5 linked regions of the Callithrix jacchus genome follow. The protein of the gene in region 1 interacts with the protein of each later gene in a pairwise test. Links are inferred from orthologs where the notes say so. Each region holds a gene or a part of one and is shown on either strand. Other genes may lie near its edges.

Region 1 (3,986 bases):
AGCAATTCTCCTGCCTCAGCCTCCCGAACAGCTGGGATTACAGGCATGCGCCACCATGCCCAGCTAATTTTTGTATTTTCCATAGAGACGGGGTTTTACCATGTTGACCAGGATGGTCTCGATGTCTTGACATCGGCCTTGGCTTCCCAAAGTGCTGGGATTACAGGTGTGATCCACCTCGCCCAGCCCATATACTATTTCTCATTTATTCAGTCCCCTCTTCTGAGCTATTTACGTTGTTTCCAACTTTTCCTAATTTTGAGAAAAAAAAAAAAAAGAGCTTCAAGAAATGTCCTCTGCCCATATACACTATTCTTTCCTCAGGATAAATCTGCAGGCCTAGAATTGTTTTGGTAATGCAGACAGCTCTCACCAAATAATCCTCGGAAGAAGTTGGCCCTCGCCATGGGCGAGTGCCTTTTCAGCATACTCGTAAGTAAGAAATTTCAAAAGAATCAGGAGCTGTTGATATCCCAAATTAGTTTTCTTTCCTCTCCCAGCATATGGCTTTTAAAAGGCTCTGGGAATTTCACTGTTTTAATTTCATAGAGAAAACAATGTGTGGCTCGAGAAACCCTTATAATCATGCATGAGCAGGGAGGAAGGGAGGGAGAGAAATTTCTGCAAATGTATTTCACCCATGGCTTCCCAAATGCCTGCCATTTATTGAGCCTATTGTTCGGGCTTCCCTAACATCCTCTCACCCAAGCAAATGAACTCATAAGCCAAAGAGAAGGTCAGTGAGCTCTTTCCGGAAGGCAGCACTAGGAATCCACATTTCCCAGCTCACAGAGGGGCTGTGGGGCCTGGGGGAAGTGTCCCTCCACTCCTGGGCCTCCATGCCAGGCACCTAATCTGAGGGGTGGACAGAAGTGCAGCTGGGCAGCCTGTTGGAGGTTCTACCTCTTGTTTGCCAAAGTAAGGTCCCTTTCTGGCACTGGTGGCCTTTCCACTTCAGCTACCCTTTGGGTTGCTGGAAAATGTGAGGTCTGAGGTGACCTTGAGGCAGGCAGGACAAATGAGGACATGGCAGCCCTTTCCCTTCTGGGAGCCGAGGCTCCTTTAATGTGGAGGCCTTAAAAGGCATGTAGGAATCAGGGACTGGGTTCTTATCTCCTGAGCCTGGCCAATGTCCAGATGCACCTTATTTATAGCACCACTGACAAGGGCAGCACAGCTGGCTGGCAGCTGCAGAGAAGGTTGGGGCCATCTAACCAGGCCATCTGCCTGCACGGCTGCTGTCCCTGCTCATCGGGCTGGAGGACAGAAGACAGAACCCTGACACTGCAGGTAAGGACCACTGGTTCCCCATGCCCTTCTCTTACCCTTGCCATCCTTCCCAGCCTAACTCTGCAGCAGGCTTGGACAGCAGTTGTGTAGGCATCTTGCTCCATGCACAGGGAGCGTCCCAGGCCTGGGAGGAAGCTCTCAGGCACTGGGAGCTCACTGACCCCAGCAGAAATGCAGGTGGTGCTGGCTGCTGGCTCCTACCAATGGCAAAGCCCAGGAACGGAAGCCACCCTGCCCAAAGATACAGGGTCCTTGGCTTGAAGATAGAGAACCCTGCTCATTGGGAATGAGGAGAGGTTTAAATGAAATTGAGCCCCTGCCTCCACTCAGTGGGAATCCATTTTGAACACCAGAAAACATTTTTTAAGGGGAAAGCAAAAGAAGAAATATTATAAACATTGGAAACGGGGAAAACCACAGTGCACTTGAACTTTTTCTCCCTGACAGAATTTCCGGAAAGCCTGGGCTGAAATGGCAAATTACTGATGAGTCTGATTACTCTGGGAAAGTGTGTTTATACAACATGACTCTTAGTGGCTGATGGTTTGAAAGTCCAGAGAGCTGTTGCATGCTTTAAAAAGGAAATGCATGAATATTTTACAATTTCCAGAGCAGGGCAAACTCTAGGATGTACAGTCCTGAGTAACGCCCTGGCCAATTGTGTAATAATCTCAATACTGATAGGGTGACATATATATGATAATAGACATCATCTATATAAATATCTTCTAGCCAGACTCCATGCAAGACACTTTATCAAGTCTAATCTAAAAAGAAAAGAAAAAGTTGTCAGTCCAGTTTTTGTTTCTAAATTATTCTGAAGTCCGAAGAGTGTTAATAAATACCTGCATTACAGGTTAACGCTGTTGTAGCTCATATTTGCTGTATGTAAGTTTATTTTCATTGTTTTATTTGTTTCTTGAAGAATATTATTTGAATTTTATTTTATTGCTAGGCTTTTACAATTTTATTGATACATGAATAGAATTTACATATGTATGGGGTACATGTGAGTAGTTCAGTACATACACAGAATGTGTAATGATCAAATCAGGGTTTTGGGGTATCCAGGATGGGCTGGAATAAGGTTTATTATATGTTGAGATCATTCTGACCCAAGTTTTTATATTTAATTGAGTAGCTGACTAATCGACTCAAATGATTACATTTTGGAGGCTTTTTCTTATATTAAAAATATTTTAAAATATAACTTCCATGAAAAGTTGCATATTTTCCAACACAGGGTTCCCAGACTGCTCACCCATCACCTGTCTTTTAGAACATTTCTTACTTTTAAGTCTCATTGTTCTATTTAGAGCTTCCAGAGTTCTCCATTGATTTCAGATCCCCGAGGCTAGGCCAAGCCATGCCTCTCACTGCATTCCCATGACCTGAAGCACAGGGATGGACACACTTTCCACTGATCTCTAAAATATTTCATATTTACAATACATGGCCCAGAGACTGATTTTAATTCATTCTCTCTCCACCAAAGAATGAGTTAAAATTATATTGAGTGCTTACATTTTCTTTTTTTACTCTACAAATAATCTACGTTTACTATAAAAAATACAGACCAGCAACAAGAAGAAAATGGAAAATTATATATACTCTTATTACTCAAAAGATAACTATTCTTGCAATTTATTGTTGATTTTAATTATTTATTGATTCTAAGGTATCTTTGACTGAAAGACGTAAACCATTCACTTCATAGATTTTTTTTTTAATCCCACTATGAGATATTTTAAGGTGAATCCAAAAACATTAAGTTATTTGGGAAACTGTAAATTATAATTAACAGAAACATATATACATCAATCAAATTACTTGGTAATCTGCTTTCTGTCCAATTTATGGTCAATGCCTCTTACAGCTGTTTCAAAATCTAATTCCTTGAAAATTGGTTATCTCTATATATCGTTATGACCCATTTTGGTTAGTCAATATATTAAAATATTCATAATAGTTGGATGGATGAAGAGTCAAAGGGCATAAAGATTTAGATAAGATATTTTGTTAGAATATAGCGATATAACATCAGTTCAAAGTATGATCTGGTAATTGATTTCTACACTAGTACTGGTCCCTTTCGAATCATGAAAAATTCAACCATCTTGTGCCTTGATCTACATGCCCCCCCATGCCTTACAAATCTGGTTTACTGATTTTTTTTTATTCCATTGATTTATCAGCACCTCCTCACTTAGTCTCTAATACACTAAAATATGGATGAAAAACAGAAAAGAACCAACATAAGTGCTGAGTAATTTAATGTGTTACAATTTGGGATTTTATTTGAATTTAATGGATACATTTTAGATAGGGAAAAGAGGAATAAAAATTCATTTTAACACAGGACTTTTGTTGCGGTTAAAGAGCAATGCTGAAAAATTAAGCTGAACTAAAACCATCTGAAGCCAACAATTCATAAAACATACTTGATGTGTTTTATTAAGGGGGAGCATACAATTAGGTATTAAGAGGAAAGTGCAAGAATTTCATTCTGCTCTTTTATTATTATTTTATGACTTTTTTTTTTTTCCGAGACAGAGTCTTGCTCTGTCACCCAGACTGGAGTGCAGTGGCACAATCTCAGCTCACTGCAACCTCTGCCTCCCGGGTTTAAGTGATTCTCCTGCCTCAGCCTCCCAAGTAGCTGGAACTACAGGCATGTACCACCACACCCTGCTAAT
Region 2 (4,229 bases), on another chromosome or scaffold:
ACCAGTAAGCATTTAGGCAATTACTGTTCAAAATATCTATGGACTCTACTAGACTTAAGATTCAGAAAGGCAGAAGCCACATATACCTTGTTCGTAGCTGGATTTCTCAGTGCTAGGACTCTCAATACATGTCTGTTGAAATGATGATTACATTCACCCTTGCATATAGCTATTTGAGTCCCTCCCTAATCCCAATTCTCAAATTCTTTGAGGGAAAAGAATAAGTAAATCTCAAGTATAGGATTATCCTCAAAATGTATCAATACTAATACATATATTTCTTTGGAGGAATGAAGGAAACAGTTACATGCAGCCGACTGTGCTGGACTCTGGACTCTTTTTTTTTTTTTTTTTTTTTAAGGTGGGGGACAGAGGCTGGCTCTGTCGCCCAGGCTGGAGCGCAAGGGCGCGATCTCGGCTCACTACAACGTTCGCCTCCCGGATTCAAGCGATTCTCCTGCCTCAGCCTCCCTAGTAGCTGGGATTACAGGTACCCACCACCGCGCCCGGCGGATTTTTGTATTTTTAGTAGAGACGGTGTTTCGCCATGATGGCCAGGCTGGTTTCGAACTGCTGACCTCAAGTGATCCGCCCGCCTCGGGCTCCCAAAGTGCTGAGATTACAGGCGTGAGACACCGCGGCCTGACTAGACTCTTTAAAGGAGTCGGGACCTGCAGTCGGGGCACCCGGTGTAAATAATTCTGAGCAGCTCCAGGTGCTAAGCCCAGCGAACACGTGCTGCGGCCAGGAGCCGGGAGGGCGCGCTTCGCGGAGGAAGATCACCGGCGACCCGAACGTGCTCGCGCCCGTCGCTACCGTTGTCGGTGCCGCTGTCCAACCTAGTACACGTGCGCCAGCTGGGCCCGAGCAGAGGGAGAGTCGCGGCTCTTGCGGGGAAAATGGAGGGCGAGCCATGGGTCAGGGGTCGGGAAAAGTGTGGGGCGCATTATGCCCAGGGAGGGAAAAGCACTGAACCAGAAGCTCGGAGGCACAGAGAGGAAAAAGGGCGGATCACGAGCTAGGTAAGGCGGACGGACCTAGGTCTCGGAAGGAAGGGGGCGGGGAACGACGGGGCGGGAGGGGCCGCGCAGCAGCTGGGCTGGGAGGACGTTTGGCGAGTTCATTCTAGGTTCAAGTCGGAAAGTGTCGGCACCGGGAGTCAAGCTGCGGGGCGGTGAGAGGTGGAATGGCGGCGACTTAGGTTCCCAGCTTCTGGCACAGCCAGTCCCCAAACGAGCCCAAGTACCCCGCAGCCCGGTTTCCTTTCTGAACGCAAGTCCTCGCCCTTAGTGAGCGCCAAATCCCCGCGCTCGGGCCCGCCCATCCACTGAGGGGTGTGGGTAGGGGCGTGGCCCGTTCCCCCGCTGGTCGGCGCCCGGAAGCCGTTGGCGTCAGCCGGAGCCCGACGCGGTGACGCCGTACGTCGACGTAAGTGATGCGCAAGCCTGGGCCGCCCCTCCTTCTCTCAGTGAGTGCCGGCCCGGTCGGGGCGGGGGAGAAGAGGGAGGGCGGGGGAGGGAGAGGCGACCCGAGAGTCGTTGTGGGCCGCGGGCCGGACCGGGTCCCGGGGCGGCGGGAGCCCGGGCTGGGCAGAAGCGCTGGGCGGGCCGTTAGAGGGCCTTCGCGGCTGTCGAGTCCCCTCCCTTGTCGGACTTGCGCGCCCCGGCGCTCTGAGCCTCCGGCGCTGTGCCCACCCCGCTCCAGCTCGCGTCTCCCGACTCCAATTAGGTCAGGCTCGGAGTCCCGCGGCCGCGGCTCCGGCCCCCAACGCTGGGCGCCTCTCGGCTCGCCTTTCTTTCTTCCCTCGCCTTCCTCTCCTCTTGCCTCACCCTCCCCCCTTCTTTTCACGTTGCTGGGTTTTTTTGTTGTTGTTGTTTTATGCTTTAGGGGTTTTGTTCCTCAACCCGAGCTCATGGGTGTACATTATCATGCTCTTCTTTTGTAGAGCAACCCGACGGCCATGGAGGCTGAAGAGACGATGGAATGCCTTCAGGAGTTCCCTGAACATCATAAAATGATCCTCGACCGATTGAATGAACAGCGAGAGCAGGACCGGTTTACTGACATCACCCTGATTGTCGACGGTGGGTAGGGAAGTGGGCAGAAGAACGAATTTTTGGCTTTAGTTTTTCTCTGTCCTGCGGACACCCGCCTTTTTTTCTTTAAACCCATCCTGTATGGTCTCCCTACCAAAGTCTTCAGAGTGTGTACACTGGGACCAGATTGCACTTGTCAGTGTCCACTCACACAGAGCGTGCTGCAGAAGGCTGGTTGGCCAGTCACGCTTTCCACGTAGTCTGGTGTTCCTCTCATTTTAACTTCTTGCATCCTGTTGAAGTTTTCTCTTTGCACTTGAGTGCAATATGATGGCGTTGGGGATAGGACGTCTCAAAATGTTTGGTTGATAGCCTCTTGTTGGTAAGCTGCTTTGAGAAGTCCCTCACAGGAGGCATTTGGGAAGTTGATTCTTTTCTGGTTTCCCAAATGGTCTTGGAGGGAGAATGTGAGAGATTCCTTTGCAGCACTCATACCCCCTTGGAGAATCTCCAAAATAAAATGGGTCTTTACAGTCTTAGGAGTTGCCACTGTAATAGAAGCAAATCTAGCTTGGATATCTTTTCTGTTTAGTGAAAATAGGTTTCTTAAGATAAGCTGCTTTTAAAATTATCGGTCTACCATAGATTGAGCTTTCAAATATTAGGCATATTAAAATGTTTTTCATAGCAGACATATCCAGCTTTGTGCTTATGGCTTTTTCTCTCTTTCCAAATGATATGTGACCTTTTGGGTTGTCCTTTTATTTAGCTGTTTCAACTGAATTGAATATGCTTCTCACTAATTCGAAATAACAAAGTGGTAAGAGGCTCCTTATTTAGTGTTGTAAATTAGCCTTTATAAAACTAACTTAAGGTGTTTGAAGTGAAGATTTAGCTTAATATTTGAGATTAAAATTTGCCAAGATAGCTGCCAAGAATATTCTGCATTTAGTTCAATAATTTTATAGTTATGTAATTATCAAGAAAGGCCTATTTTGCTTTTTATGATTTTAAAATCTCTTTTATAGTTATACATTTAATTTTTGTGCTTGTGTATGATTTTCTTTTTTTTTTAATTTTTATCTAGGACACCATTTTAAAGCTCACAAGGCTGTTTTGGCTGCTTGCAGTAAGTTTTTCTACAAATTCTTTCAGGAGTTTACCCAAGAACCTTTGGTGGAGATAGAAGGTAAATGCTTGTTTTATTTTTTTATTTTTTATTTATTTAATAACTCAAGTCATTTTATTTACATATTTGTTTTAAATACAATACTGGAATTTAAATACTTGTGTATAGCAAACAGTTGGTGAAGCAGTTTTAGTCCGTTTATCAAGACACCATAGGAAATAAGCATCAATAGTTCCTATAGGTAAGTAGATAAATTGTTCTTTGGATACCTGAGAATTCTTTGTTTCAGTAAAGTGCTTGGTTGAATGATCTTCTAGGAAAAACTTAAGATGGTAGACGTTGGTCTTTTCCATTGTGGAAGCTGGTGGTCATTGTCTTTTAAAAACACGTATTAAAAGTGAATTACCATCTTTGTTCAGTGGGCTTATATTTTAGACTGGTGGAGATGCTGCAGGTTACTAGTAGAACGCTTTACTCTGCTCTTACAGCAGTAGTGTTGTACTAGCAGAGGTACAGGTGACATGCACAGTGTGAAGTGGGCTGCTGTAATAAATAGGGAGAAAGCTAGGAAAGATGAACTGAAGTAGTGTTCAGAGGAAATTCTACTGGTTATTGAATGGGATGGATCAATACCTGTTACCTTGAAACAAAGTGATTTTTGTACTTGCTAGACATTTTTCTAATAACAACCTGCCAACTGCTTGGCATTGTGATATGTAGTTTGTGTCTTATCTAAGGCTCACAGCAATCCTTTGATGCTGGGCACAATGGCTTGTGCTTGTTGTCCCAGCTACTTGGGAGGCTGAGGCAGGAGGATTGCTTGAGCCCAGGAGTTCAAGGCCAGCCTGGGGCAACACAGACTGTGTTTCTTCTTCTTCTTTAAAAAAAGAAAAGAAAAGAAAAAAACCAAAAAAAGAAGTGGTATTATTTCTAATAATTTACCCATCAGGAAAACAGGCTCTAAAAGGTTACTTGCCCAGAGTTGCCCAGCTAGCAAGGAATTAAGTTTGTGCTATTAATTACCATGCTTTTGTCTTCTGCTACTGCAGTAACTCCTTCCCTAC
Region 3 (4,289 bases), on another chromosome or scaffold:
CATAGAAACTATCAGTGCGTCACAAGTAGTAAGCATTGTTTTCGGAAACCTTATTACACTCTCATGCAAACAGAAGCGTAGTGGTCAGTATGCAAAATTTTCTCATGATGGGTTATGGTTTTTTTGTTTTTGTTTTAACCCATTACTCTAAGGTGTAGATGTGATCAACCTCGTTTTACTGATGAGGACACGAGGGTCAGGGAGCTTCGGTACCCTGCCTAAGTTAGTGGCATGAGTAGGTTTTCTGCAGCCAGAATGGATTCCCTCACTAAAAGCCAGGCAGTCTTCCGAAGTTGTCGGAAGAGACTTGGGAGCAAAGATAAAACCATCGCGCCAAGCGCAGTGGCTCATGCCTGTAATCCCAGCACATTGGGAGGCCGAGGCGGGTGGATCACCTTAAGTCAGAAGTTCGAGACCAGTCTGACCAACATGGTGAAACCTCGTCTTAAAAAAAAAAAAAAACACCAAAAAACTACCCGGTTAGTGCTTACCAAGTGCTTTACCTCATTTCGAGGTAAGGGCAAGTGGGCCAAGCAGTGCTTCTTCTTTTTTTTTTTTTTTTCCTCTTCAGAAGTGACGCTCTGACTGGCGTAGCCCCGGGAGAGTGCATCTCAAACTCGAGCGTGCAATTATGTCTACGGGAGGCCCTTGTTAAAATGCAGATTCTAGGCACGACCCGTGAAGTACCAAGTCGAATTAGAAGAAGCGGCCCGAGGAACCTGCCTTTAGAAAGAACTTCAGATGATTCAGATGCACACGTTAGGGACTGTGGGTTATGGGGGTCGCCGCAATAACCATGTGAGGATTAACGGGGGCTTAACCGATTGGGAAAATCCCCTCAGAAGCGTCGCGTAACAATCCAACTCCCTCTACGGTGCCGGACCCCAGTGCTTCGCCCCCCCCGAGGCGATGACAAGCGGGGAACTAAATAAAAGGTTGGTGGCTTTCCACTCACCAAGCATAGGGTTGAGTGGCAGCCGGCTACTGCCGAAGAGCCCGTGAAAGCTCCTGGCACACCTGGGAGAGAGTGGGCTTAAGGCGCAATGTATACGCTGTTTATGAGGCATTTGTGGGCCTCACCCTAATGACTTCTGATTGGCTTCAGGGCAAATCTATCACTCATCCTCTGGGTTAGAGGTGGGTGGAAGGTCAACCACGACCAATACAAAAGCACTCCTAGGATAAGCCCCTCCCCTTCCAGCTTCCTGTTGCTGTCCATCAACCACCCAGTAGGCGGGACTTTGACTCCCTCCAATTGGCTGGTGAACATGTCGTTCATTCTTCAATTGGCTTCCGGTTGGTGGGTTTTACCGTCGATCAGTGACATTGCATAAACCTATTGGCCAAGTCAACGTCGCTCTAGACGCCTCTGGTTGATTGGTTAGTAATGCTGTCGGTCCCCAATGTTCCAAGCGCTTATTGGTGAAGGCTGCCGTCGCTCGGGCGGTGGCGGGCTCCGGGATTGGCGGGTGCTAGGCGGGCGGTGTCAGGCTCTCGGTGGCGGCGGAGGCGGCGGAGGCCAGGGAGGAAGATGTCGTAATGAGCGGTGGGTCCCGGCCCCTGCCGGCGGGGTCTTCCCGGCCCCCAAGGGTCAGGAAGACGGGCAGAGGCCGCGGGGAGGGGGAGCCGAGGCCGGGGGTTCCCCCCTGGGGCCGGGCCTGACGCCGGGGCCCGGCTTCGGGAGGGGCGGGGGAGGGAGGATTCCCGCCCGGAGGAGGAGCGGGGCTGGCCAGCCGGGCGGAGGCACCCGGAAGGGGGCGTTCGACTCCCCGCCTCCTCGGAGCCCGCCGGGCGGGAGGGCGGCGCTTCCGGGGGCCAGCGAGAGTAGCGGGCACCGGGGCGGCCTGGCACCCCTCAGTCGGGTGCCGACCCATCTCAAAACTGCTCGCCCGCCTGGGCGGACTATGCTTGAGTCTGCTTCGAGGAGGCAGCCGACAGCCCTCGTGCTTGCCTCGTGTTTGAGGGGCCTTCTTGCACTCTTAACTGTAGATGCCCACCAGCGATTAAGGGCTCCCCGGAGCACAGAGAGGGGCGAGGGAACGCTTGAGATCCAGATGGACACTGCTGGGCGTCGACGCCAGCCCGGTTACCGATGTATCCTAATCGGGAGATGGTGTCAGGACACGAGGGCACTCCCTAGGCAGATCACCTCTCACTGGGTAGTGGGCAAAAACCTTCCTTTAATGTTTGCACTTGGATCCTTGAGCCTCCAGCTAGATATCTGCCAGCTCTTAGCAGAATTATGAGAAGTTTGGAACTTGTTGCCAAAGCTCCCAGCCTGTTACCTGACGCCCCTTGGGGGAGACGGCTGCAATCCCAAAGCTCAGGTGCAAACAATCTTAAGGAATTACAGAAGAAATAGAATAGAAACTTGCTCTCTTCCTCAACACACCTTCATCCCCTTTCCTGACTTGCTTCTTACCCATGCTTCTTATGTTTCCTTCTCAGCGGCTTTCTAATTTTAGTTCAAAAGGAACTATGTCTTTGGGCAACTGAGAAACCTGTCCTCACTGCATTCCTTGGTTGTGATTCCAATATCCTGTCATGTTTGTTCCTTAATTAACTTCATCCAAGGGGACTCAGTCTGGCTTTTCTCAGTGCATTCTCGCAAAGTTCTTTCTTTTTCTGCGGTTACTTCTTGTTCACTTACTGTTTCCTAGAGAAAGGTATGAGCCAGTAGATCTGCTTTAAACAATGAATTGACTCAAGTTTCCCGTTACACAGATTTCATTACAGATGGAAGGACACTGACTGTTTCAAGGTGCACTGGCATGCACTGTCTAAAACGTTTTCGTGCTGTACCCCAGAAGGCATTCAGTTTCAAGTGGAGGGCTGTATTGAGGTGGCATTCTGGATTACGATTTTTAGGGCTAGGAAGTTTACAGTGTTGGCCAGCCTCACAGGCTGCAGAGGGAACAATGGTGGAGTCCAGACCGCAGCAGTAATTTCAATTACTAACATAAAGAAACCCATTGTCTGCAATAATGAATATAACTGCAGTGTCTTGTTTTGTTTTAAATTCTTGTGTGTGATGAAGGGGGCGAATCTATCAGACAGCCTATCAATTGGGCTGATGATGTCAGTGTTCCAGTGGCTTCTAACAGGCATTAATACCTGTTGGAAATGGAATCTTATTGGCTGGGGCAATTGGTAAGTTTTCTAATTCTAGTTCTTCCTCTTGGTTGTACAGAGGCTTAACCTCTTTGGGTAAAAGTAACTGCAAGGCTGGACGCGGTGGTTCACGCCTGTAATCCCAGCACTTTGGGAAGCCGAGGCAGGTGGATCATGAGATCCTGAGTTTGAGACCAGCCTGGCCAACATGGTGAAACCCCGTCTCTACTAAAAAAATACAAAAATTAGCCGGACGTGGTGGTGCGCACCTATAATCCCAGCTACTCAGGAGGCTGAGGCAGGAGAATCGCTTGAACCTGGGAGGCGGAGGTTGCAGTGAGCCGAGATGACGCCATTGCACTTCAGCCTGGGCAATAAAGAGAGACTCTTAAAAAAAAAAGCTAGTCTGACATAATGAGCCTCCGTGAGCTAGGCTGCTGAAGCCACAAGCTCTGCCAGGGAGACGCAAGTAGAGTTTGTTCATAATTAGATCCTCACCTGACTGCCCAACAGGGAGAACTGGCTCCAGGAGGAAGAGTTTGGCATCACTGTGGACAGCAGATAGACTGGCCACTTTTCTCTCTCGGATTCTATTAAAGTTTGGGCCTCTGGAGGTCTGTCAGAGAGGAGAAAAGAAATTATAAGATTTGGGCAAGCTGGGCATAGTGGCTCAGGCCTGTAATCCCAGCATGATGGGAGGCCAGGGTGGGCAGATCACTTGAGGTCAGGAGTTCGAGACCAGCCTAGTCAACACTGACTAAAACCAACCCTGTCTCTACTAAAAATACAAAAATTAGCTGGGCATGGTGTCCCGTACTTGTAATCCGAGCTACTTGGGAGACTGAGGCAGGAGATTTGCTTGAACCCAGCGGGAGGAGGTTGTATGTAGTGAGCCAAGATTGTGCCACTGCACTCCAGCCTGTGCGACAGGGTGAGACTCCATCTCAAAAAAAAAAAAAAAAAAAAAAAAGATTTGGGCAGATGTCTGGGGTAAAGAAACTTTTTATTCGGCAAGTAGAGTGGTTGGTTCATTTTGATATTTTGGCCTTGAACTTCTTAGTTCTTCCGATGGTTAATAGCAGCCTTTTAGAGAAGCTGAACAGCCCTTTGCTACAGGTCTGTAGCAGTTCCCAAGCTTACTGTAAGCAAGTATAGTATTCCCCAATCAGGGCCCTTAT
Region 4 (3,361 bases), on another chromosome or scaffold:
ATTGTGAGATTGTTGAAAGCAGGAGCCACTGTTTTATGTGGAGAGACTCCATAAATATTTGCCAATGATTCATTAGGAAAGCAACCATTGGGGGAATCCCACTTGGTCATTTCCAAGATGACCAGCATCTTAGAACAGCAGGTTCCCAAATGTCTAGGGAGGTGACAAGAAGACAAGCAAAGAATACAGAGCACAGCATCCTGCTGCAATACAGGACTTAGTTTGCCCGCCCTCTGGTTCCTTTCCTGGTCATTCAGATAAAGCTGGAGCTACTTCAGCAGGGGTAGGAATAATGAAGTCCAGGTGGCCCGCCCTTCCACAGCAGAAAGGGACAGACAATAGAGCAATGAAATTACCATTGTTTTCCGCACAGAGATGTGTGGAAAGTGAGGAGAGGGGAAGAAATTTGCTGACCCAATGGGGGGCTCCTAAAAAGGTTTATATCGAAATTGTCCCATCTGTGCCTCCATATTTAAAACCTGGACCAAAATGCTAATTAAATTTACTTACAAAGCACAACTGGGAATATATTTGTTTCGTTATGGAGTTCATGGGGCAGAGGGTCCAGGCTTTTTTTCCCCCATGCAAAAAGCATGGGATCAGGCTTTCTTCTTTTCCCCTGTTGCTCAAATAAATAGCGTTCTTTGCTCAAACCCCCTTTCCCTCCTCCTTCTGCAAACTCAGCGCCTAGCCCAAATCTGTTTTCTTCATTGTAACCTCAGCTTCACCGCAATTAATTTTTTTTCCCTCTGGTCACAAGATAATTCCTGACGCCAGTGAGTCTGGAGGTCAGACGAACAGCAAATTGGGGAACAAGGCGGCACTAATTCCTTACAAGTTTCCCTTGAAAAATCTTTTGCTAAAAAAAAAAAAAAAAAAGCGGGGGAGCTTCTTTGCTGTTCAAGGATTTATGACCTCCGAGGAGCTGTGGGTTCGAACCAGTGTTGGGCTAAGGGCGGACTGGCAGGGGGCATGGAAGCTCAAAGATCTGGGGCGCTGCCAGGAAAAAGCAAATTCTTAAAGTTAATGGTTTTCAGTGATTTTTAAATCCTTGCTGGCGAAGAGGCCCGCCTCTCCCCAGTATCAGCGCTTCCTCATTCTTTGAATCCGCGACTCCGCGGTCTTCGGCGTCAGACCAGCCAGAGGAAGCCTGTTTGCAATTTAAGCGGGCTGTGAACGCCCAGGGGCGGCGGGGGCGGGGCCGAGGCGGGCCATTTTGCATAAAGGGGCGTGCCGTGGAGCGGGCTCTATAAGTGCCGCGGTAGCGAGCGTGCACGTATTGCAAGCCACTGTTGGGGGATTTCGTTGGGTTTTCTCCCACCTCTGGGCACTTCTGGACTCACTTCCCAGCATGAAGGCGCTGAGCCCGGTGCGCGGCTGCTACGAGGCGGTGTGCTGCCTGTCGGAACGCAGTCTGGCCATCGCCAGGGGCCGAGGCAAGGGCCCGGCAGCAGAGGAGCCGCTGAGCCTGCTGGACGACATGAACCACTGCTACTCCCGCCTGCGGGAACTGGTACCCGGCGTCCCGAGGGGCACTCAGCTTAGCCAGGTGGAAATCCTACAGCGCGTCATCGACTACATCCTCGACCTGCAGGTGGTCCTGGCCGAGCCAGCCCCTGGACCCCCCGACGGGCCCCATCTCCCTATCCAGGTAAGCCTTGGAGCTGCGTCAGGGCTGAACACCCAGGCAAAGATGCTGTGGGATCCTCAGAGCCCCCGATTGCCTTATGTAACTCTTCCCGCTTTTCCTCTTCTCAGACAGCCGAGCTTGCTCCGGAACTTGTCATCTCCAACGACAAAAGGAGCTTCTGCCACTGACCCGGCCGTCCTCGCACCGCCTGGTGAGTATCTCCTCCCGTGGGGAGGGAGTTTAAACGGAAGTCCTGGAGTTGGCAGACCTTTTAAAAGATTTCCACCCCCTCGGTTTAGGGAAACCGAGGCCAGAGAGAAGTGACTTGCCCATGGTCGCATCAAATGAATGGTAGAGTCAGTTTCCATGTGATGTGCATTTCAGCCTTAAACGCGCCTCGCTCCTGCCCTCCCGCAGTGGCCAAGGGTCTGGGAAAGTAGATGCGGGTCCGACTAAATAAAAGTCTTTCTGTTTGGAGTTGTATAGGGAGCTGTGTCTTCAACAGCCCCCTCCCAGTTAGTGTCAATTCCAAGTGGGAGGGGTAGTGCAAGCTCCGCCTGTGGTCTTTGGCGCCAACTGGGTGGGGGCAGCGTGGGGCGCGGAGTTATCAGCTGGAGGTAGAGACCAAATTTCCTCCCTGGCGCCGGCCAGTCTGCGGACGGCCCCCGCCTCGGCGCCTTTGGCGGAAACTGACTGCTCCTTGGTCTTCTTTCCTCCCCCGCCCAGAACGCAGGTGCTGGCGCCCGTTTGGCCTGGGACCCCGGGAACCTCTCCTGCCGGAAGCCGGACGGCATGGATGGGCCCCAACTTCGCCCTGCCCACTTGACTTCACCAAACCCCTTCCTGGAGGCTGAACCTGGTGCCCAAGAGCGAAGGACTGTGAACTTGTGTGGCCTGAAGAGCCAGAGCCAGCTCTGGCCACCAGCTGGGCGACGTCACCCTGCCCCCACCCCACCCCCAAGTTTTAAGGACTGTCTTTTCAGAGCATGGAGGTGTGGAGGAGGGAGTGGCTGCTCTCCAGACTCTGCCAAGGCGGCGGCAGAGCTGGTCTTCTGGTCTCCTTGGAGAAAGGTTCTGATGCCCTGATTTATGAACTCTATAATAGAGTATATAGCTTTTGTACCTTTTTTACAGGAAGGTGACTTTCTGTAACAATGCGATGTATATCAAACTTTTTATAAAAGTTAACATTTTGCATAATAAACGATTTTTGAACACTTGTGTATATGACACCCGTGTCCGCTTAAGTACTAATGATGCTTTCTCTCACATGGCTGAAGTTAGGGAGCTTTGGGAAGTAAACTTGTTTGTTCCCATAAAAGGTAGATGAAAAAATGCCCAGCTGAGGAGGACAGGGTGGGGAAAGAAGGTCTCATGATGAGTCCCATGTCCATTGAGGGGTGGGTGCAGAGAAAAGATCTGGGCTCTGCCCCATCATTTCACGGATGAAGAGAAACCAGAGGGACTGGTGCAAGCATGCCGAGCAAGATGGGGGCTCAGGCAGGTTGAGAACTGAGTTCTCATGTCTCTTGAGATCAGTAGCTTTCTGTTTTATTGTCACTTAATTATTCACTATGCCTTTCTAGCCAGGGATGTGGTAAGAGCTGAAAGAACCTCAAGTGTTGCCTCACCTGGTGCCCAGACATGGGTGGTGGTTGATAGACCAATACAGAAATGAATAAACTGATAACTGGGCCTGGTTTCATTTCCTTTTTGCTTTCTGGGCTGACT
Region 5 (4,079 bases), on another chromosome or scaffold:
GGTGAGCTGAAGTCATGCCACTGCACTCCAGTCTGGGTGACAGAGTGAAACTCCATCTCAAAAAAAAAAAAGAAATCAAACCATCTAGCTAGACTGAGGTAAGCAAGTTGATGCAGTGATGAGAAAGCCAAACAAATCACTAGTAACTCAAGTTAATACACGTTCTTCCCCTCACTGTGACATGCTATGTGGTCAGAGTCTCAGATGAATGGTCTTGGCTTGCTCAACTTTAGGACAGATCTGTTAAAAAGGCTTACTATAATAATGTCAAAGCAAATCACTTAGTTTTACAAATGAGAACAAGAACTTTTATTAATATAAATAAAATTTTAGTTTTCACTCTATACCTCATGCATGAACCATAATGATAATATAGCATTCAAAGAGAACTGAGCATGGCTCTTCTAAGACAATTTCTGCAGACAACTGCACCTTTATTTAGGTATGAAGCCAGAATGAGATGCCAGTCTTATACACTATAAGAAGACTGAACTAAGGATCCTGAGAATACTCTCAAAACAGCTCAAACTCCAGGTAACACAGAAAGAAAGGCAAAGGGAGACTCCAGGTGACCACTACTCACTGGTCTTCTGTTCCGAAAAATTTCACAAAGAAGCATTTCTTTCCACGAGGTTTCTTCAGGTCCTTTGGTGGATTAACAATCTGGAGAGTAAAAGGGGGAAAAAGATTGGCTGGCAACGTAGCAGCCCGCTTTCTCGTGGCTCCACAGTGCTCTACAGAGCTCTACGTTGGTAAGAAAAAAGTCAATTAAAAGACTTACTTATAAACAAATTTATTCATGTACAAAACAGAACCCAAGGCCAGTACTTGCCTAAATCTCCCATTTTTCGACTGAGATGTGTGGAAACATGCAGATATTCTGGAAGTTCCCAATATCTAACATGTAGCGCAGGGCTTAGTAAACACAATATCCCTTTCACTGCAGTGGCCCTGCTTTACCAGCAGTTAAATCAACAGCATCCCCTGCCCCCTTGCTGCCCCCACAACATGTGACAGTGGTTACGGAAGAAATGCAGAGGATACTCTTTGAAATACTTCCTGTGCAGGAAGAGTTAGATAGGAAATAGTGAAAACAAAGGACAACTGAAAACACCATATTGCAAAGAGACCATCTAAAGACACTTCCTGGGTTCTGAACAAGAATATAAAAACGGAACATTTGGAAAGCAATGACAGATCACCTCATGCAAAATCTGGAATGCCAACTTCTGCAAAGAGGCACCGGAGTAGCACATATGGTAACACAGAAAGAAGATTTAAACTTAGTTGGGACAAAAATACTTTGGCTTTTCACTAACCTACATTTAGACTTCTCTCTCTTCCTGGATAATTTATATTTTCTTCTCCTTTTGTTACATTTAAACATGAAGCTAAATTCAGATTAGAATTATTTCCGGGGTTAAAAAAAAAAAAAAAGACACTTCGTAAACGTCCTCTAAATCAACAAATAGTGTTTAGAGCAGATTAACGACCTGGTGTATACCGTATGGCCTTTAAAAAAAAAAAAACTCGGGGGAATTCTAAGTGCCATCTGAATTGGCCCCGTTTAACTCAATGCTAGAAATTTAGAGGAATGAATCTTATATTTTCCACCTCCTCATACCCATCTTCGGTTATCTTCCTTCAGTAGCAAGACACTCACCTTTCCTGGCCAAGGAGGATACCGGCCGAGTTTCCCCCTAGAGAAAACACACAGAGTCAGCACTTGCCCTGGAAAAGCCAGTCCAGCTCCTTCAACCCACTCAATACGCTATTTATTTTCCTAAATCTCTGCTGGCATCCTCAAGTACTGGAACAAAAGCTTGCAAACGAGAGTCCTTAACCTGTCTTCCACATCTGGGCCCAAGACCCTCAGAAGTAAAACGTAAAATTGTATACTTATGTGCACAGCATATGTCCATTCTTCTGTTGATAATGAATACAGAACAAAATTGTCAAAAGTCACTTGTCTAGAGCTTCTTAATGACGGGGGTGGGAGGACAGTTTCCTCTGTAAACACAGACTTCCCCTCCCTAAGTCTGGTTTAATTCAACAGGAGACCTGCCTGGCTTTGACAAATGCTAATGGAAGCCTTCCTCTGGGTGGAGAAACAAGCTACGCAGCTCGAGGGAGGCGGCGACAATCAGTCTTGGTTCGGGCGGTTGTCTGGGACACAGAAGCATACCACGAGAGGCACTCAAGCCGGCACTGGTCACTGCCAAGCCATCGGTTGGAAAAGCGAAGTCCCCCCGCCGTTTCTTCGCGGGGCAACGTAAGCAGTCCGGTTTAAGACACCCCCGGTTGCGCGGCCAGCACAGGTCGGCTGCATCGCAACCAGGGCTTTGACCGACTGGCACCGGCGAGATGGACTCGCGGGTCCGGTCCCCGGCGCTTTTGCTTTCTGGGAAGTCGCAGCAAGACCCCGGGGACCCGGTGTCCGGGGAAGCCTCGCGGAACAAGCGGCTCCCTTCACCATGACAGCCGATATCTGGGCCCCAAGTGCAGCCCCCTCCCGGGCGGCCTCGGAGATCAGAGCCGGTGCCCGCCGTGGCCACCCTCGGCCTCGGTCCCCCGGGGCTGGACTGCCCCTTCCGCCCGGCGCCGCTCACAAGCGCCGGCACCTTCTCTTCCCCTCTCTCCGCGACCTGGAGCGCATAGGAAGGCAGCTCCTGGGCCGGCCGCGAACCCCGCGCCCAGGCGGGCAGTTCCCCGGCGCGTCTCGGTTGGCCCGGCCGCCCGGACTCACCACACCAAGTCGCCGAGCCGCAGACTCACAGCCGCCATCTTACCACCCAACCACCGCCGACGCACGGGCCGCCGGGAACAGCAGGTCGCCCCGGCGTCGCCCATTGGAGTGGGCGAGACCACGTGACAGGGGCCGGCTGTCATCGGCCACGCCGCTGCTCTGACGTCACCGCGCTTGTCGGGGCTCATTGGCCGGCCAAGCGGCACGTGATGCGAGCGCCGCGGTCTCCGCGCGCCGGAGCGTAGAGATTCCCGGCTCCTACCCCCTCCCTTCGGCTCGTGACAACGAAGCGTCCGCGGTCTGAGGCGGCGGCGGCGACTGTGCGACCGGCTGAGCGCAAGAGGGAGCCGGCCTCGCGGCCCGCCCCGCCCCCGGGCCTTGGAGTCGGCGCCCCTCCCCTCTTGGCGCTTCCGTTACGGCCGTTAGTCCGGCGCGGGCCCCGGGACCATTCCAGAGCCCGAGGCGCCGGTCGGCCGCGTCGCTGCGCCCGGGAGCTGCCCTGACGGAGCTCGGCGCGGCCTGGAACTCACCCTCCGCCTAGGTCTGGGCTCCCGTGCCCGGCGGCTCCGCTTGACCGCAGGCCGGGAGGCTCGGGTGTCCGCGCCTGTCCGCTCCCACCGCCCGGGTTCTTTGGAGCGCTCCTCCTGACGGCCGCTTTCGGAGGCGGCGTGTGAGCGCGGAGTCCCGCGCTGCAAGTTCTCCCGGGGCGCCCGGCGACTGCTCTCCCGACCCCCCGGTGTCCCCGGAGTGGCTGCGCGGACGTCGAGTTGGCATTTCTTTGCTTCTTCCTGGACCGGCGCGCGGCGCGGCACACCAAGCTTCTCTGGGCGCGGGGACCCGGCCATGGGCCGAGGCGTGGGCCACCCGCCGGCGGGGAGCCGCGGCTCGGGAGCCGACCGCTAGCTGCGCGACCGCCCGGGGCCCTGGCCGGCATGAGGACCGCCGCGGGAGGACGTCTGCGGCCCGCGTCGGCGTTGGGGACAAAGGTGCGTGTCGTTGTCGGGACCGGGCTCTGCCGTTAGCCTTGCTTTAGTTTTTACACTTTTGAAAAAGTTGTGACAACAGGAAGACAGATGCCGGGCGTAGTTCGGACACTTTAAAACTGAACCACGAACTGGGAAGTGTTCACTGCAGTTGAGCGCAGCGCGGGCCCAAACTTCAGCAGACCAGGTAGAAACAATTATGCAAAAGATCCCAGTCCCAGTTACAGACTCCGCAGTGTCAAGGATTGACCTAAAGTTGGTGTCGGACTCTTGTTGAGTCAGTGCCTGCTGGAAAAGGTGACGGGTCCACACGCACTTCCCCAATGCATTGTGGTGGTTAGAGCTTTCAG

What was found. The genes of interacting proteins can lie anywhere in the genome.
Region 2: the proteins of FHL2 (region 1) and ZNF131 interact in binary tests that used the Homo sapiens proteins (3 or more experiments, as listed by UniProt). The two-hybrid records come from large-scale screens. The link is inferred for Callithrix jacchus from reciprocal best matches to the Homo sapiens genes FHL2 and ZNF131.
Region 3: the proteins of FHL2 (region 1) and SP2 interact in binary tests that used the Homo sapiens proteins (3 or more experiments, as listed by UniProt). The two-hybrid records come from large-scale screens. The link is inferred for Callithrix jacchus from reciprocal best matches to the Homo sapiens genes FHL2 and SP2.
Region 4: the proteins of FHL2 (region 1) and ID3 interact in binary tests that used the Homo sapiens proteins (3 or more experiments, as listed by UniProt). The link is inferred for Callithrix jacchus from reciprocal best matches to the Homo sapiens genes FHL2 and ID3.
Region 5: the proteins of FHL2 (region 1) and GLYR1 interact in binary tests that used the Homo sapiens proteins (3 or more experiments, as listed by UniProt). The two-hybrid records come from large-scale screens. The link is inferred for Callithrix jacchus from reciprocal best matches to the Homo sapiens genes FHL2 and GLYR1.

Annotation. Positions count from the first base shown.
Region 1 is NC_133515.1:15,512,184-15,516,169, reverse strand, and holds the start of FHL2 (four and a half LIM domains protein 2), read left to right. Parts: upstream 1-1,175; 5' UTR 1,176-1,290; intron 1,291-3,986. UniProt on the Homo sapiens protein: May function as a molecular transmitter linking various signaling pathways to transcriptional regulation. Negatively regulates the transcriptional repressor E4F1 and may function in cell growth.
Region 2 is NC_133503.1:162,367,741-162,371,969, reverse strand, and holds the start of ZNF131 (zinc finger protein 131), read left to right. Parts: upstream 1-1,428; 5' UTR 1,429-1,435; coding exon 1,436-1,468; exon of another isoform or gene 1,469-1,945; coding exon 1,946-2,084; intron 2,085-3,123; coding exon 3,124-3,225; intron 3,226-4,229. UniProt on the Homo sapiens protein: Plays a role during development and organogenesis as well as in the function of the adult central nervous system. May be involved in transcriptional regulation as a repressor of ESR1/ER-alpha signaling.
Region 3 is NC_133506.1:118,395,610-118,399,898, reverse strand, and holds the start of SP2 (transcription factor Sp2), read left to right. Parts: upstream 1-1,488; 5' UTR 1,489-1,539; coding exon 1,540-1,546; exon of another isoform or gene 1,547-4,289. UniProt on the Homo sapiens protein: Binds to GC box promoters elements and selectively activates mRNA synthesis from genes that contain functional recognition sites.
Region 4 is NC_133508.1:60,314,123-60,317,483, reverse strand, and holds ID3 (DNA-binding protein inhibitor ID-3), read left to right. Parts: upstream 1-1,278; 5' UTR 1,279-1,351; coding exon 1,352-1,651; intron 1,652-1,758; coding exon 1,759-1,818; 3' UTR 1,819-1,841; intron 1,842-2,356; 3' UTR 2,357-2,860; downstream 2,861-3,361. UniProt on the Homo sapiens protein: Transcriptional regulator (lacking a basic DNA binding domain) which negatively regulates the basic helix-loop-helix (bHLH) transcription factors by forming heterodimers and inhibiting their DNA binding and transcriptional activity.
Region 5 is NC_133513.1:6,961,194-6,965,272, forward strand, and holds the start of GLYR1 (cytokine-like nuclear factor N-PAC), read right to left. Parts: upstream 2,802-4,079; 5' UTR 2,785-2,801; coding exon 2,747-2,784; intron 1,701-2,746; coding exon 1,664-1,700; intron 664-1,663; coding exon 584-663; intron 1-583. UniProt on the Homo sapiens protein: Cytokine-like nuclear factor with chromatin gene reader activity involved in chromatin modification and regulation of gene expression. Acts as a nucleosome-destabilizing factor that is recruited to genes during transcriptional activation.